2 linked regions of the Drosophila melanogaster genome follow. The protein of the gene in region 2 interacts with the protein of the main gene of each other region in a pairwise test. Each region holds a gene or a part of one and is shown on either strand. Other genes may lie near its edges.

Region 1 (7,123 bases), on a different chromosome or scaffold from region 2:
TATTAATATGTGTGAAATTGGCCTTAACATAAACAAAATCTAATTTTGCCTTCAGTTTATTATTTATTTAAAATGATTGATGTGCTTTCGAATCGTTTTGATCATGGCCTCAGCCTGCGAGTTCGACGAGTCGCGTAGGATGCCGATGACCTCTGAGATTCCTCCACCAGGACGACCTCTTTGTGCCTTGGTGCACAAGGCGAACAAAACTCCGGCGCAGGCGCCCCTTTTGCCCTCCCAATTCTCCGGACTGGGATCTAGTCTGTTAAATCCAATTATTTGTAAATTGTTTTAATTTTGCTACTTAATTAATCCACTTACTTTTCGAGCATATCAAATGCTTTGGCTGCCACCCAAAATTCGGCACACTTGTAACACTCATTGGCAATCAGTTGCAACAGGATAAATGCCTCCGCATTCGTATCCCTGGTGATGAATACATTCCAAGCTAGCTCAGGGTGACCGCAATGTATGTGGCACTTGGCCAGGATCATGCAGTAGGTATGCTGGTTCTTGATATCCATGTCGGAGATCTGCATCAGCAACTCCTCCGCCTCCTTGTAATATCCTGTGGCGCATTTCGCCTGGGCAAAGTTATAGTTGAAAACATCGTCGTTCACGAAGTAACTGCGAATGGAGTTCATGTAGACCAGCACCTCCTCGAATTGCTCGTAGAGGAAAAAGGCGGAGGCCATACTCTGACGACCCGGTATAGTGTCACACTCTGTTGCCGAACTGCCCACCAAATGCAGGTTTTGCTGGGCCGTCTTGATGTGCTCTTTCTATAAGGAAAAGGATATGGTAACATTGCTTTCCCCATCGAGATCTGTATCCATTTCCTTACCGATCCCAATTGCTGGCCCAGGGCGGCATGGACCACTCCTTTGAGTATGTACTCATGCGGCGAAGTTGGCTGTAGTTCCTTCATCAGAGCATGAGCTTCCTGAACATCGCCCTGCTTCAGATAGTATATAGCCAGATTCAAGCGAGCCTCAGGAATGATATTCAATAATCCTGGCAGGACTCTCAATGCCCCTTCACCGTTCCGAAAAACGACCAAGTTGTGACGCAGAAGATCCGCTCCGAAGGTGCCATTATCGGCTATATTCTTGATTTCCTGCTCGGCCACACGACCGTTGAACAAACGAAATCGATTGCAAGCCTTTAGGTTAATAGCTATGGTACTATCGCCATGTTGACTGAGATACACATCCAAGACCTCCTGGGACATGTCGTAATAGTCGAGCTTGTAAAAACACAAGGCCAAATAGACATTGATGGCCTGGTATTCCTTGTTGTCCACCAGCACCCGTTTGTACACATCGATGGCCTCCTGGTAATGGGCCCGCATGTAGTGCATCGAAGCCAGGCTGAGCTGCTGTTCCAAGCTCGAGGAATCCTGCAGCTCCTCCTGCAGCTGGCTCCACTCCTCCTCGTTGCCCAGCTTGTGGGCCAAGTGGAAGAGGAGTCGCTGCTTCAGCGGATTGTCAGCCGCATTGGCCATCAGTTGTTGGGCCTCCTCGTACAAGCCCAAGTAGAACATACACACGGCCAGGTTGAGATCCAATTTCCCATCAGGAGTTGACGAACCCTGCTGTATGGCCTTGTATTGGGCCAGCGCCTGTTGGTAGTCACCCAAATGGAAATTGCAAAAGGCAATCCACTGATCCACCTGACTCTGCTTGGATCCATGAGCACCCTCCTCCTCGTCCTCGTCGTCGTTGGCGAACTGAAATGGATGGACCAGTTAGATATTCTACAATTCGATTTAACATTACACTTGACACACCGCATATATATAATTTGTTTTCCTTTTAATACCATTATTGAGAGTTACACATGTTTGTTAAAAATCACGACATTTAACGTCACTGCTTTAATAGTGACTAATAAAAGCATTGTGTATAAATGCAAAAATTAGCTAATCGAAAAACAAGTTATGTATAAAACAGGTCCGTTTCGGCAAACACAGCAAGTGGTTTTCTGATAAAACTAATACTATGCTCTGTGGTAGCACAAATCGATTATGAATAAACAAAGGTAACATGTCTTTGAACCACAATATATTAATTCACAGATTGAACTTCAGTAGACTCAAATTTTACAGTGGTCGTTCAGAAAACAATGGATGGCTATCAATCGATTAATGTATTCGGACTAAGAGATGCAAAGTTATACGCGTCATTAATCTATATAAGTAAGTCACAAAAAAACGAGTCTAGGCCAAATTCAACATCTTCCAAACTGGTATAAAAGCAGCTGACATCTAGTCAGAATGCATTGTGATCTCTACCATGAAATTCTTGTCTCTGTTTGTGTGTCTTTTAATCGCGCTAATCGCAGTTAAGGCAGATCCTTTATCGCCGTCTTTTCAAAAATGCCTGGATGAAATAAGTGATGCGGAATTGTGTGAAAATTTCAAAGATCAATTCCCGGAAGATGCACCTGCTGTTCCTCTCGATGAATTTACCTTCGAGGCGTATTCTGGATAATTTAACTTCACTTTCGTTGAGTAATTCCGACGAACGCGAATTAAGCTGAATAATTTATTGTGCACTATTGCTTTATAAGTTAAGCAAATAAACAAATTTGTTTTGATGTAATATTTGATTGGTTTCCATCGATTTGTGTTTTGACAAGAAATTAATCAGTCGCCTTAGATTTGGCTATAAAAAGCTTTTGTAAGCTAAACTAAAATCAACATTAGCACATAAAAGTGTACTTATCACCACTAATTAGTTGAAAATAATGTATATAGGTAAAGAAACAACCCATACCAATTAAATTAAAACTGGCTGCGGCAGTTAATGCTGCCATGTATAAGAAAATAAAATGTGAAAACTCAGCAACGATTGTCCACTGAATTTGGGGCAAAAGTAATCCATACGCACCTCCAGAAAAGCCCGGGCTCCCGTGTAGTCCCGCCTGATGATGAAATCCTCTAGGGAGGCCGGTGCCGGAGTCTTCCTTGCCTGCCTTCCAACGCCGAGTCCACTGCCAGGACCTCCGCTGGCATTTCTCGAGCTCGCCGAGTCGGTTTTTCCGCGCGAAAGTATCTGGACAGGGACATAAGTATCTTCGGAGTATCTGATAACATTTTCCAGGCACATTTCTTACCATTTTTTCGCACAGCCGTTCGTTTTCTCGGGATTTGCGCTCCTTACTGCCCAGCTGGCTCCTCGGTGTTTGGGTCTTGTGTGTTTTGCGTTTTTCTGTTTTCGTCGGCAACGCTTGGTTACGGTCGCTTGGCAACCTACATAGCGTCGATAAAGCAGTTCGACCACGCCTCACTGCGCCCAGAAAGCGCCCCTTCTGGATACTTGTGCGCAATCCTATCCGTATCCTTGCCCTCAACTGCAGCTGGGAACCAACTGTTGATACGTCGGAACAGCCACCCTTAATTCTTGGGATATCGTCTTCTCATTTTCCGATGATGTCAGCAGGACTTCATACCCCTTAAATATTTTTTCTTTGGGGTATAATTGAATGTGGTTTTCATGAAACAGTTTAAATAATATAATCTATTAATAATATCAGTTCAATAAGCATGCTTACAACTCATAGAAAAAAATTAAACATTTTATTGCTAGATTTTTTTTCTTATTCAGCTGGAAAAGACATGAAAATATACCCAACAACTTAACACCAGCTGAATGTGAAGTGCAAGACGACTCTGGTCAGATTGTGGCTCGGTTTTGGGTGAGCACAGGTAGACTTATGGCACGCGTTGTTGACACAGTTCCACAGGAACTGATGTTTTTGCATTTGCATTTTCATTTTGCAATTTCTTTATTTATAAGACGCACACGAATCATAAATATGCATGCAGGCGGCCTCCGGCGAGAAATGCATGCGTCAATCCGAACGCCTCGGCATGGGTGGCATACTTTAGGAATTCTCCTGTTTTCACTCAACTCTGCTGACACTGCATAATGGCTCACAAACACATGTATTTCGAGTGATAGACATGACTGTAGAATTTTGTTATTCCAGTGCAAATTCGAACGCCATCAAGTGGAAAAACAAGTGGAAAATAACAACAGTCCAAGCAGAGCAAACTGTAAATAATGCTTCACAATTATGCTTCACGGGAGAAAAGATTGATTTAAGAATATTTATGTATTCTTTAAACCGCAAATGCTAAATGAAATTACTATAAATTGAAAGAGGTAAGCCAGAAGTGCAGCTTGCTACTTTCCCAAACAGGAAACCCCAACCAATTGAATATAAAACGCGGATAAAAGATGAACAACAATCTGTTCGTTGCGTGCAATAAAACAAGATAAAGCATAAGTCCAACAGCACCAACAGTAAGGCAAACAAATTTACTTTCAAGTTGTAGCATTTATATATGTATATCTATGTACATATATATATATATATTTCCATCCAGCAGGCAGTCATTCGGCGTACGCGCCTTTGTTTATGCTACACTTTATTGCGCTTTTGCAATTTCGCGTTTCCGTTTCCCGTCAAATCAGCCATAAAAAACGTAAAGCAAATCTGGGAGTCATGACCCCGCCCAGCTGGATCCTTCTGGTCCTGCTCCTTGAAGGCGCCTATTACATTTCGCAGTCGAATAAACAATGCCAACATCATTTGCACCTCCTTCATTATGGGCTTGGCTCGTTATTTGTCAAACAAATAAACAGCAGGCAATGCCAATGCCGGTGCACTTAGAAAAATTAGAATTTAATTTTTTGCTGATAACATTGGAATATCAAACTGTTGTACAGATAAGTAAATAGATAGTTATGTAAACTAATACATTACTATACATTAATCTGTGACTTAAAATTACTTTAAATTTCATTTAGAAAGTTTATAGCACACTTGGCTCAGTACATTTTCTCGCAGTGTGGATGATGGGGATTTTTTGGGGGACTTCGTTGGAAAACAGAAGACTTGCCAGTCACTGTTACGTGCAATTGTCTCCCGCTTGGGCCCATGATTTTCCATCATTAGAATGGAGAGCTGTTCGTGTTTACAATTTTTCCAACGCTCCTTTTTTCCCTCTGTGACAATTTATTGTCATCTTCTGCTTCACATTGAGTGTATGCTCGTTTTGTTTTGTTTATACACTTTCGTATTTGCATTGCCTTCTGTTCTCTGCTTTTTTTTCGTCCTTTTTTGGACTGGATTTTTTCTAAGGAAAATTGCGAACTTGCGAAATGAAGTGCAAAATTCAAACGGAAATTGAAACGGCAATGACAGAGTCGACTTGAGTTGAGTTTGTTTCTTCCTTTCGCTCCTTTTGCTCCTTGGGCTCTATTTATTTCTTCTTTTTTTTGCTTGGTAGCAGAGCCTGGACTTTGGTCTTCTTCGCAGGACTCTTGGGCACATGTTGCCTGCAGTTGCATATATAAATGTTTCTTCACAATGAAGTTGGGAAAATGGCGATTTTCTCAAGCGTAAACTAAACACTGGAAATGCGAGAATAAATAAAAATGGACATCTCGGCGAATTTATTGGTCATGATGATGACGACGCCTGAGTTTGGATTTAGCACAAATGTTGAATACCACTGAAGCATGCATAATAATGGGGCAGTGAACTTTACGAATTGGGCTCTGGTCAAGGATGAACGGGCGAAATGAAGTTAAACTCTTCGGAAAATGTTTTGAAATAGTTGAAAGTATTGCGGGCAATTCAGTGGATTTGTTCCATCTGCGATTTGGGATCGATTTTCAGCCTTGACTGCACCAGCTGAAATATCAAAGAGCACCACTTTCGCTGGCCAAAATAAATTCGTTAGTTCGCCAGAGAGGGAAATTGGAAACATAACATATACATATAGTCGTATATACAACCATATATGTATGTATGCAAAGAAATCAGACAACTGTTGTTTGCAATTAGAAGCAAATAAACTAAATTGTTTCGCGGTTCGCAGTTTTTGAACAAGCGGCGCACATTTTCAAATTTGTTCAGCACACAAACTCACTAACATCGGCGGATTTGCTCTTAATTTTTGCGGCAATCGCATTATTGGTAAATGTGTGAAATGTTTTTGGCTGATTTTGCCCGGTCACTTTCGGCCAAGCGGCTCTTGACGAAGCTTTCTACACGATTTGGCGCATTTACATATTTTAATTAAAACATAAATTCTGCATTTTGCCCATACAGCTGAATATCGGTTGCGTGCGAAAAGCCAGAGAGAGCATATTATGCAGCTCTATTTTGACCGTTTTTTGATTAGTGATGCCACAAAGTGGTCACTGTGATTCAATTTCGAATTGTTTCTGGCTTTCAGCTTTGGGTGGATTGAACGAAAATCACTCTTTTAACTTCATCAAATAGTAACTTTATTTGAATGCTGTGCATTGAGTACAGTGTTGCAGAACCTATTTATAAAATAGGTAGATTCTATTCATTGAAAAGTAGGTAACAAGTAGAAGAAGCGTTTGCGACAAGCCTAGAAAGTATATATATTCTTGATCGCGATCACTTGCGGAGTCCGTATGACCGTCCGTATGTGTCCGTATGAACGTCGAGATCCTAAAAAGATTCTAAAAGCGAAACAGTTACTTATCACAGTTTCAGATAGTTTCACTGCCAGCCCAAACGAACTCCAATCTTCTATCTTGAAGGCACATCTCTTTGAGTCGTTCGATGCTTTTGCATGCCTTTGGTTATTTTAATAAATATTTCATCAGACACACGCACATCACCGCACCGAGATGAACATGGGTAGCGCATAGTTTACTATCTACTAAATATTTAAACGCAGCGCCAGATCGTAAAGGTAAAATGTATGCAAAGTGCATGTCGAGCAGCCATCGAGGTAAGCTGTAAAAAACTGAGGCAAGTAACGGCTAAAATGAAACGGAAAAAATGTTAGAAAAAGGTAAAACAAACGAGCCAAGAAGCCATAGCGAAAAGCTGCAATATTGAATAAAGTTAGTACCTGGCGGTCTGTTGCGCCTCATCGTGTTCACTTTGCTTATATATATGTATATAGTGTTGAGACTATGTTTAGTTTTTTACGTCTTTCATTCAAAGTTTCTTGGGATTTATACGATTTTTAGAGCATTGAAATATTTATTCTTGGGACTTATACGATTTTTAGGGCATTGAAATATTTATAATATTTCTTTTAAATATTAAATTATAGAACATGACT
Region 2 (7,123 bases):
AAAAGATCCCGATTGTTTTTTATGTTCTCCCTATCTAGAAGATAAGAATCCGCTTGATTAGTACAGTCCCGTTTCGCTTGATCAAGCATGCGTTTGTCACGCCCTACGCCCACCAAGCACATTAGTACCAACGCCCACCACCCACCACCCAACGCCCAGCGTCCTTTGGCCATGCAACGAAAATGACATTAATGGGCTCTTTACGGCTTACGCATAATTAAGGCTGTTTCCGGCAGACCATCGACCATCGGACCTGGCCCCATTGCTTTTGGCCCGGTCAGTGTGTTGTCTTAAGCGGGCCTAATTAGGCATCGCCGGCTGCTGCGTTCTGGCGAAGCTGTTGCTTCTGCTTCTGCTTCTGCTGTTGTTGTGTGTTTGATGAAGTGCATGATTGGTTTATGGACTGAAGTGGGATGGTCGAAACTGCAGGCCGGCTAAGTGGGGTATTCAGTTGAGAACCAAAGCTGAACGGATCCACAATTGTTTCTTTTGTAAATCACTTTCTATTTGCCGAATGATTATTACTGCAAAGCATGCAGTTTGTGCATCTTACAGGATATGCACCTATTTACGATTTCACTTCAACACTCATCGTTTTCAATTCAATTTGAATATTGCACTTCAAGTTCTTCCCTGCCTTTAATATCTGTAGTTGAATTCCTTTCAACTTGCTTGTCTGGCGCCTCGAGGAGATTTTCATTTAATTCGCGACTGCCCGCTGGCAAGTCGAAAAGAGCGAAAAATATGGTGAAACAAATTAATTTGTTGGTGCTACTACAGCCAAAAGTATATCCCCGAATTATGTTTTAAAGTATATCTATATCTTAGTTTTGCGAAAGTTAAAATGAGTTTCACTCATAAATCACTTAAAGCTCGAGGGTAAATATTTTCTGGAAAGAGCTTGACAAATTGGATAGTCGTTTACTAGCTGATTATGACATTTACAGATGCGATGCTGGTTAGAATTTGTTTGGCCACCCATTTTGTTCATAACAACCGTATTTGCTCTCAATCACCAGACTTATTGCACCTTAGCTCCACGGCCATGGCTTGACCGTTTTCCGAACGATTTAAGGCCAGGTCCTGGCACAAAGGGAAAAGTAAGGGAAGGATATGGGGGCATCCCCCCATCGTGAGGGGCAAACAAACGCCGTCTGGCTGTCACTTAATCGAAGCCATTAGCGTTATTAGTGGGGCTGCTACCAGCCGATGCACTGAGAAAATATATACGATGCTCGATGAATATTTGATTAAATAGCATTATAAGTTATATAATTTAACAATAATTGTTAAATTCTTTGCAGTCAGGTGTAATTGTGTCTGGATCTCTATTACACTTCTTTAGTAGATACAAAACAGAAATTAAAAATAAATTGTAAGCTATAAGAATAAATATTTTATTAACTTTAAAACATATATTTTAAGAACAAATTATGTTTTGATTTCCTTGATCATTTGTATGATTTATGTTTTATATGCATCTATTATTCCCACGCCTGACTGGCGGCCAAGTAGAGGGCAAAGAGTGTCTGGACATTATGGATGTAGTCCGCCTGCGACTCCAAAGGTCCTTCCACTCCGAATCTCTCGCAAAGAACTCCCACGTATTCCGCTACAGAAATGTTCTGCTGCAGACAGGATCTGTAGGCCTGATCAAGGGCATTAATGGTTTGTTCATCGCCAAAGGATCTCGGCCAATCCTCCAGGAGGGCATCTATGTCCTTTCTGGGCTGGACATCGTACATTGACTGAGTCATATGCACTTGTTCCACCTCAGTGATCCACTTCTCTATATCCTTGCCCGATCGGGCGGTGGGAACCAGTGATGCGGAGGAGGCGTGACGCGGATTTCGCCCCATGCTGCCACTCAGTACCGACCGAAGTTTCATATTCAGCAGACTGGGCTCACTTTGAGCGCCAGAGGGCTCATCGAGCAACCATAAGCCCAATTTCTCCAAGTGATCGTTCAGATCCTTCTGGCGTTGGGGCTGCAAAAGAGGCGGAGCCTGGACTTTCAGAAGGGCATCCACATCACCCACAGCGGGCACAAACTCGGGGATGAAAGGTTGCAGGTGAAACGGAGTATCGATCGTTTGCGGGGTGTATTTGACGATGTAGGGAAAGAGTTCCTTGAGTTCTCCGGGCACGGACAGATCCTCCCATTTGTCGGCACTCATAATAAAGGATTGATCATCCTGCCGCTTAGATCTTCCTGCTCCACTAGCACTTCCCCTCATGGGAAGCGTTAGCTTTTGATGTGGTAGCTTGGCTCCGCCTCTTGCTCCTCCGGATCCCATTCTGCCACCCATTGCGGCCTCCTCGCTGCCCGAGCTCAGGGTGTCATCCGGTACTTGCTTGGAACTTCGGTTGCTTCCCGGCCGCTTTTGCATGTTCGGCCCGGGCACCAGACCCGTCATTCCCACGCCCATGGTCATGCCCTGGGGCAGCTGCATCTCGCTGTCATCGTCATCCTCGCTGTCCTCCGCCTCGTCATCGTGATCAATGATGTCCTGCAGCAGACCATCGTCATCAGTAGAGTTGTTTTGGAACTGTTGCATGGAAGGAATATGCATATATGAAATTATTATATTCATTGAACAAGAATTGTACGCATTTAAATTGCTCCTTAATACTTATTTTCATTTCGTCACCGTGGAAATTCTTTACCACTCACCATTCGACGGTGCCTGCCTGCGGCTGCTCTTCGTACAGCTCCTTCTCCGCCCACTGCTCCTGGTCCACCACCGCCAGCACCACCTCTGCCACCGCCTGTTCCTCCATTTCGGGGCTCCATTTGAACACTGCTCAGGTGCTTGGAGTCGGGTCCGCCGATTGTGATCTCCTCGTCGTAGAAGTTCATGGCCAAGGACCAGCTGCGAGGACCCGGATTCAGATTCAGATTCAAATAGCTCTCCAGCTGCGAGTCCTCTCGAGCTATTCAGTTTCCTTTCACCGTTTTCCTGCCCACTTCCTGGCTTTCCGCGAAATTCGCACAACACTTGTCCCGCAATTTTCCGCTCCTTTTGCAGGTGCTGGGTCCTCGTCCTTGTTTCCTATCTCCAGAGCAGAGTTTTCTTCCTTTTCAGCGTTTTCCGCGTCGTTTTTTCTGTTTTCACTTGCTTACCTGCTGGAAACTTGTCAATTGCTTTGGCCAATGCCGGTGTCGATGTCGATGTGGTCGTCCTGACAACGCAACCCACTACGCTGCACTGCGAGAAATATTTTCGTGTGTTTAAACTGGAAGTACGTATATGTGCATTCATTTTTAAGAATTTGCATTATTCGAAACTGTTGTATATGACAGACAATACAATTATAATTTTTGTACACACGTTTTCTCTCTGTGCATCAAGTGGTTGTTATTGTCATATCCTTTTTGGCCTGCGTAAACATTTACAGCTGAAACAGTTGCCCTTTGTTATGGGCCAGGGTTTTAATTACATTCAATTTTTGAACCGATTTACCATCGGCGTTCGTCCTGCGTCCATTTAAATAATTTGTAGCTACTGTTTAAAGAGAATTTTATGGCGCCGATTTATTAATGAACATGCGAAATTTGGGACACTTTCAAAGTGCCCATAAAAGGCTTAACCAAATAGATTTACATTTACACAAGGCGCCGTCTTTCCGGAACTTATTTCCAAATTTCAATGCTTATAGTTTTAAGAGGTGATAACGATGTTCAAAACAACATATGTGGGTTTTTTTTGATAATGGTCTAATATCTAAAAACACCTTTTTCTTAGCGAACATCCCTTTCTTTGGACCATACGATACAAATATGTTTTTGCCCGAAAAATACCGAAGTTAAATTAATTAATGGAAAACAATCCGAAAGAGAATAAAAAACTATTTTTAAAGTTTTTATTCAATTGAAACCCTCAAGCTTTAGAACGCACGGCTGAAATAAATATGAAAGTATTAAACTTTATAAGAATGTAAAAAAAATTAATGAAATATGAAGTTTTTTTAAAATTGTTTTTGGTTTTACCGTTGTTGTTAAGACTATTTAATTTGTACAATGTAAATATTTAGTAATCAATGCATTTTTTAGATTTATTATTATTATGCGAGTCGTTTGTATTATTTATTTATTTTTATTTTATATTAATGATGTCAGTACCCAAGAGATAATGCTGTTACATATTATTTCTGAAATATATATGCCCCAGCTTCCTACGATTAATGGGTACAGCGAGAGAGCGTTAACATTTTCTGACTCTGTTAACGTGCTGTTATCTGGAACTAACAGCGACGGCAGCGGGAGTTCGCCACTTGTTTTGCCAGCCATTCATCGGCATTCGGCTTTTGAATCTTCTGGCGTGCGGACGTAAAGTAACTGCGACTGTTTCGTCTTTGGTGCGCGTATACTGGTGCCGTTTTATCACGTTGTATCTTAATAATAAGCGATAACAGCAGCAGCATTGGCCACTAATTAAATGCTGAAGTGACTGTGTGTCAATTGAATCTGTACGACTTTTGATTGAATTAAATTGCGAATTACAAAACACAAAAGCAAACGGCAATTAACGGTTATAAAGCCGGACCAGTGCGGCAATAAAAACAATTTGATCGGGTGCCAAAAGATATTTTTGCACACACTCCTTTTTTGGGATAATTAAAAGGACAGTGCTTGCCCGTGTGTGTCCTTCCGCTGGACTGGAGTGTGTGTGTGTGTAGTGGTTGTGAAGGAATTTCTCATTAAACCGACGCTAAAAGGATTACGAACCCGTTCATCTTCATCAGACCCGCGTATCGAGTAACGGTAAGTTGCGGGGGATTCCACCACATATGTACATTTATATTATCACACAGACGAATTTAATACAGGCCTAATCATTAAAAACGAAGGAGGAAGTGGAAGGGAAAGATAATCGAACCTGTTAAGTTGTTGAGTTACTAAGTAAATTTCTTTCTTCAAATATTTCCTAATTAAAACTCAAAATGTATATAGGGAATCTCTTTTTTTTCACTGTGCACATCATTAATTCCTCATCCGTTTTACGCGTTGGCTTTCACGCGACCCTCGCAAGAGTTAAAAAGGGTTGACCATGTTTTGGCCGGGGTCAATATGCTTCTGTTGAGGTTAAACCGTTCTAGGGGAATACAAATCCCACCCCGCCCTTACCGCCTTCACCACCCACATACCGCCCCGCCCCATTGCGAGCCAAACAATGAAAGCCCCCAAAAAAAGTGCCGGCAATAAAACGAAATTGTTTTGAATTATTGAGATCTGGCAGAAAGAGCGGCCTGTAACCGGATGGTAACTTTCTGGTTTGGGCTTTTTTTCATTTTGTTTAAATATAATTTATATTTGGCGCATATATAGCCAGGATCACGGGACCCGGAAAAGGACTGAGCACTCTTATAGGTGTCTGGGGGCATTAACGGTTAACATGTTTGCGGTTTTTGATTGCTGCCAAGTCCTTTTATCAGCCCATAAAACGAGGGTCTCCCAACGCCTGTTACCGCCCACTTTTGGGGCCATATGTTGGGCGTGAGGAAGTTCGAAGGGGTTGGTTCTTTGGAGTGGGTGTTGTGGTTTCTGCAAATTGGCGAAGGTTTTATAGAGTTCAGTGGAGTAACAACCAGTTTATCAATTTTGTGCGCAGCTTATAAGATAAGAGTTGTATGCAAACTGCAAAACGGGTCGCTGTACTAACAACAACAATACGGAATAACTGGGAATAAATATAACTGATTACTGATCATAAAACCATTCATTAAGCTATTCCCAAAGGGAATTTCCCATGCACCATAAATACACTTCACATACAAACTTAGGTTTAATTAACCGAAAATCCATGCTCCATCAATAATATCGAAGGGCATCATTTTCGCTTTCCTTTTTCTCCACACTCAATTGCAGCCTTTAGCCAATATTAAGATTCATTTGCAGCGAGGAGAATCTAATTTCTTGGCCAAGTCAGAGGTTATTAGCCATCCAACCACATGCAGCATTCGACAGCCCTGCGTGGCTAATTAATTTCCATTCAGTGAATGGAAATACGTATACCATGGAAAACCGCAAATTAATTTCCCGACACAACGAGAGGGAGTGAGAAAAGGACAGACAGATAGATGTTAGACAGAATGTAGCTGTTAGATCTACGAGGAGCAGTTACTGTGGACGACAGTCCGTTTCATTTGTATATTGTCCACTGTCCAGCATAACCATTTATTTGCGGCCAATATAAATTCCTCGAGTTCTTTCTGCCATTTTCATTTGTATTTGCGGCGGCTGCTATTGCTGTTTATTGTAATTTTTTATGGTCCATAGTCTATGGTTCTTCTTGGCCTTATAACTAGCGCGACTGGCGACTTCGACCTATATAAGCGATTCTATTGTGCCCAACAACGTGCTTTGGACATTTCGCAGCCAAGGCCTGAAAGCAGAGACACCAGCGCGCATTTCCACTTTCGCTTTTCATTGTGTGTGTGAAAATGGAAAATAAAGGAAAGGCAACGAAAATGTTTGCTTATCTCTGTGCCTACACATTTTTATGTGTGTTGTGCTTTGTTTTCTGGGCTCCGTTGATGGGTGTCGGGGCTTAAGGACTCTCCTTTTCGATTTTTTTGATAGTCATCAGCATGCAGAGCCACATGGCTGCTGCTGCTGCTCCTCCTGTTCCTCCCACTCCTCCTCTAATCTTCTTCAAGTTCAGCGAAAGCGAAAACGTGGTTGGAGGGTCACCATAAAAATGAAAATCGTCCTACGGTTGAAAGTTTGTCGTTTACCCACAGAGGCAACGAATTATGCCAGATTGGTTTTTATTTAAATTAGTTTTAGATTCCTTTAAGCGGAGCGCCAAGGCTCCCATGTTCGCTGAAGTGTTAAAACAGAAGATACAGAAATTGATTTTCGGGCTGAGATTGAGAACTTGCTGCCCTCCGGATTCCCTTGCCTTTATGGCCAACTCAGCTGTCCCCAGCCGACAAACGAGTTCCGCAGAAGTTTAGCCCCAGACCCGAATAAATAAACAAAAATGGCTAGCTTTTGGGGGGCTGAGGAATCCGATTTCAGTGTCGCCTATCAATGACAAATTGCACATGATTTTTACTGTCTAGCAAGCAAATGTTTTCATACACTGACTGCTGTCGCAAACTCTTTGGCTGTTCGGTT

What was found.
Region 1: the proteins of IFT46 (region 2) and Ttc26 interact in a two-hybrid assay, tested with the Drosophila melanogaster proteins (one large-scale study listed by BioGRID).

Annotation. Positions count from the first base shown.
Region 1 is NT_033777.3:15,770,493-15,777,615, reverse strand, and holds the start of Ttc26 (tetratricopeptide repeat domain 26), read right to left. Parts: upstream 3,201-7,123; 5' UTR 3,121-3,200; coding exon 3,118-3,120; exon of another isoform or gene 3,057-3,117; coding exon 2,892-3,056; intron 2,845-2,891; exon of another isoform or gene 2,493-2,844; coding exon of another isoform or gene 2,295-2,492; exon of another isoform or gene 2,274-2,294; intron 1,730-2,273; coding exon 845-1,729; intron 783-844; coding exon 322-782; intron 263-321; coding exon 64-262; 3' UTR 1-63. Other genes in the region: CG45207 (uncharacterized protein), read left to right, coding at 2,295-2,492.
Region 2 is NT_033779.5:18,612,960-18,620,082, forward strand, and holds IFT46 (intraflagellar transport 46), read right to left. Parts: upstream 3,148-7,123; 5' UTR 2,861-3,147; coding exon 2,675-2,860; intron 2,550-2,674; coding exon 1,485-2,549; 3' UTR 1,380-1,484; downstream 1-1,379.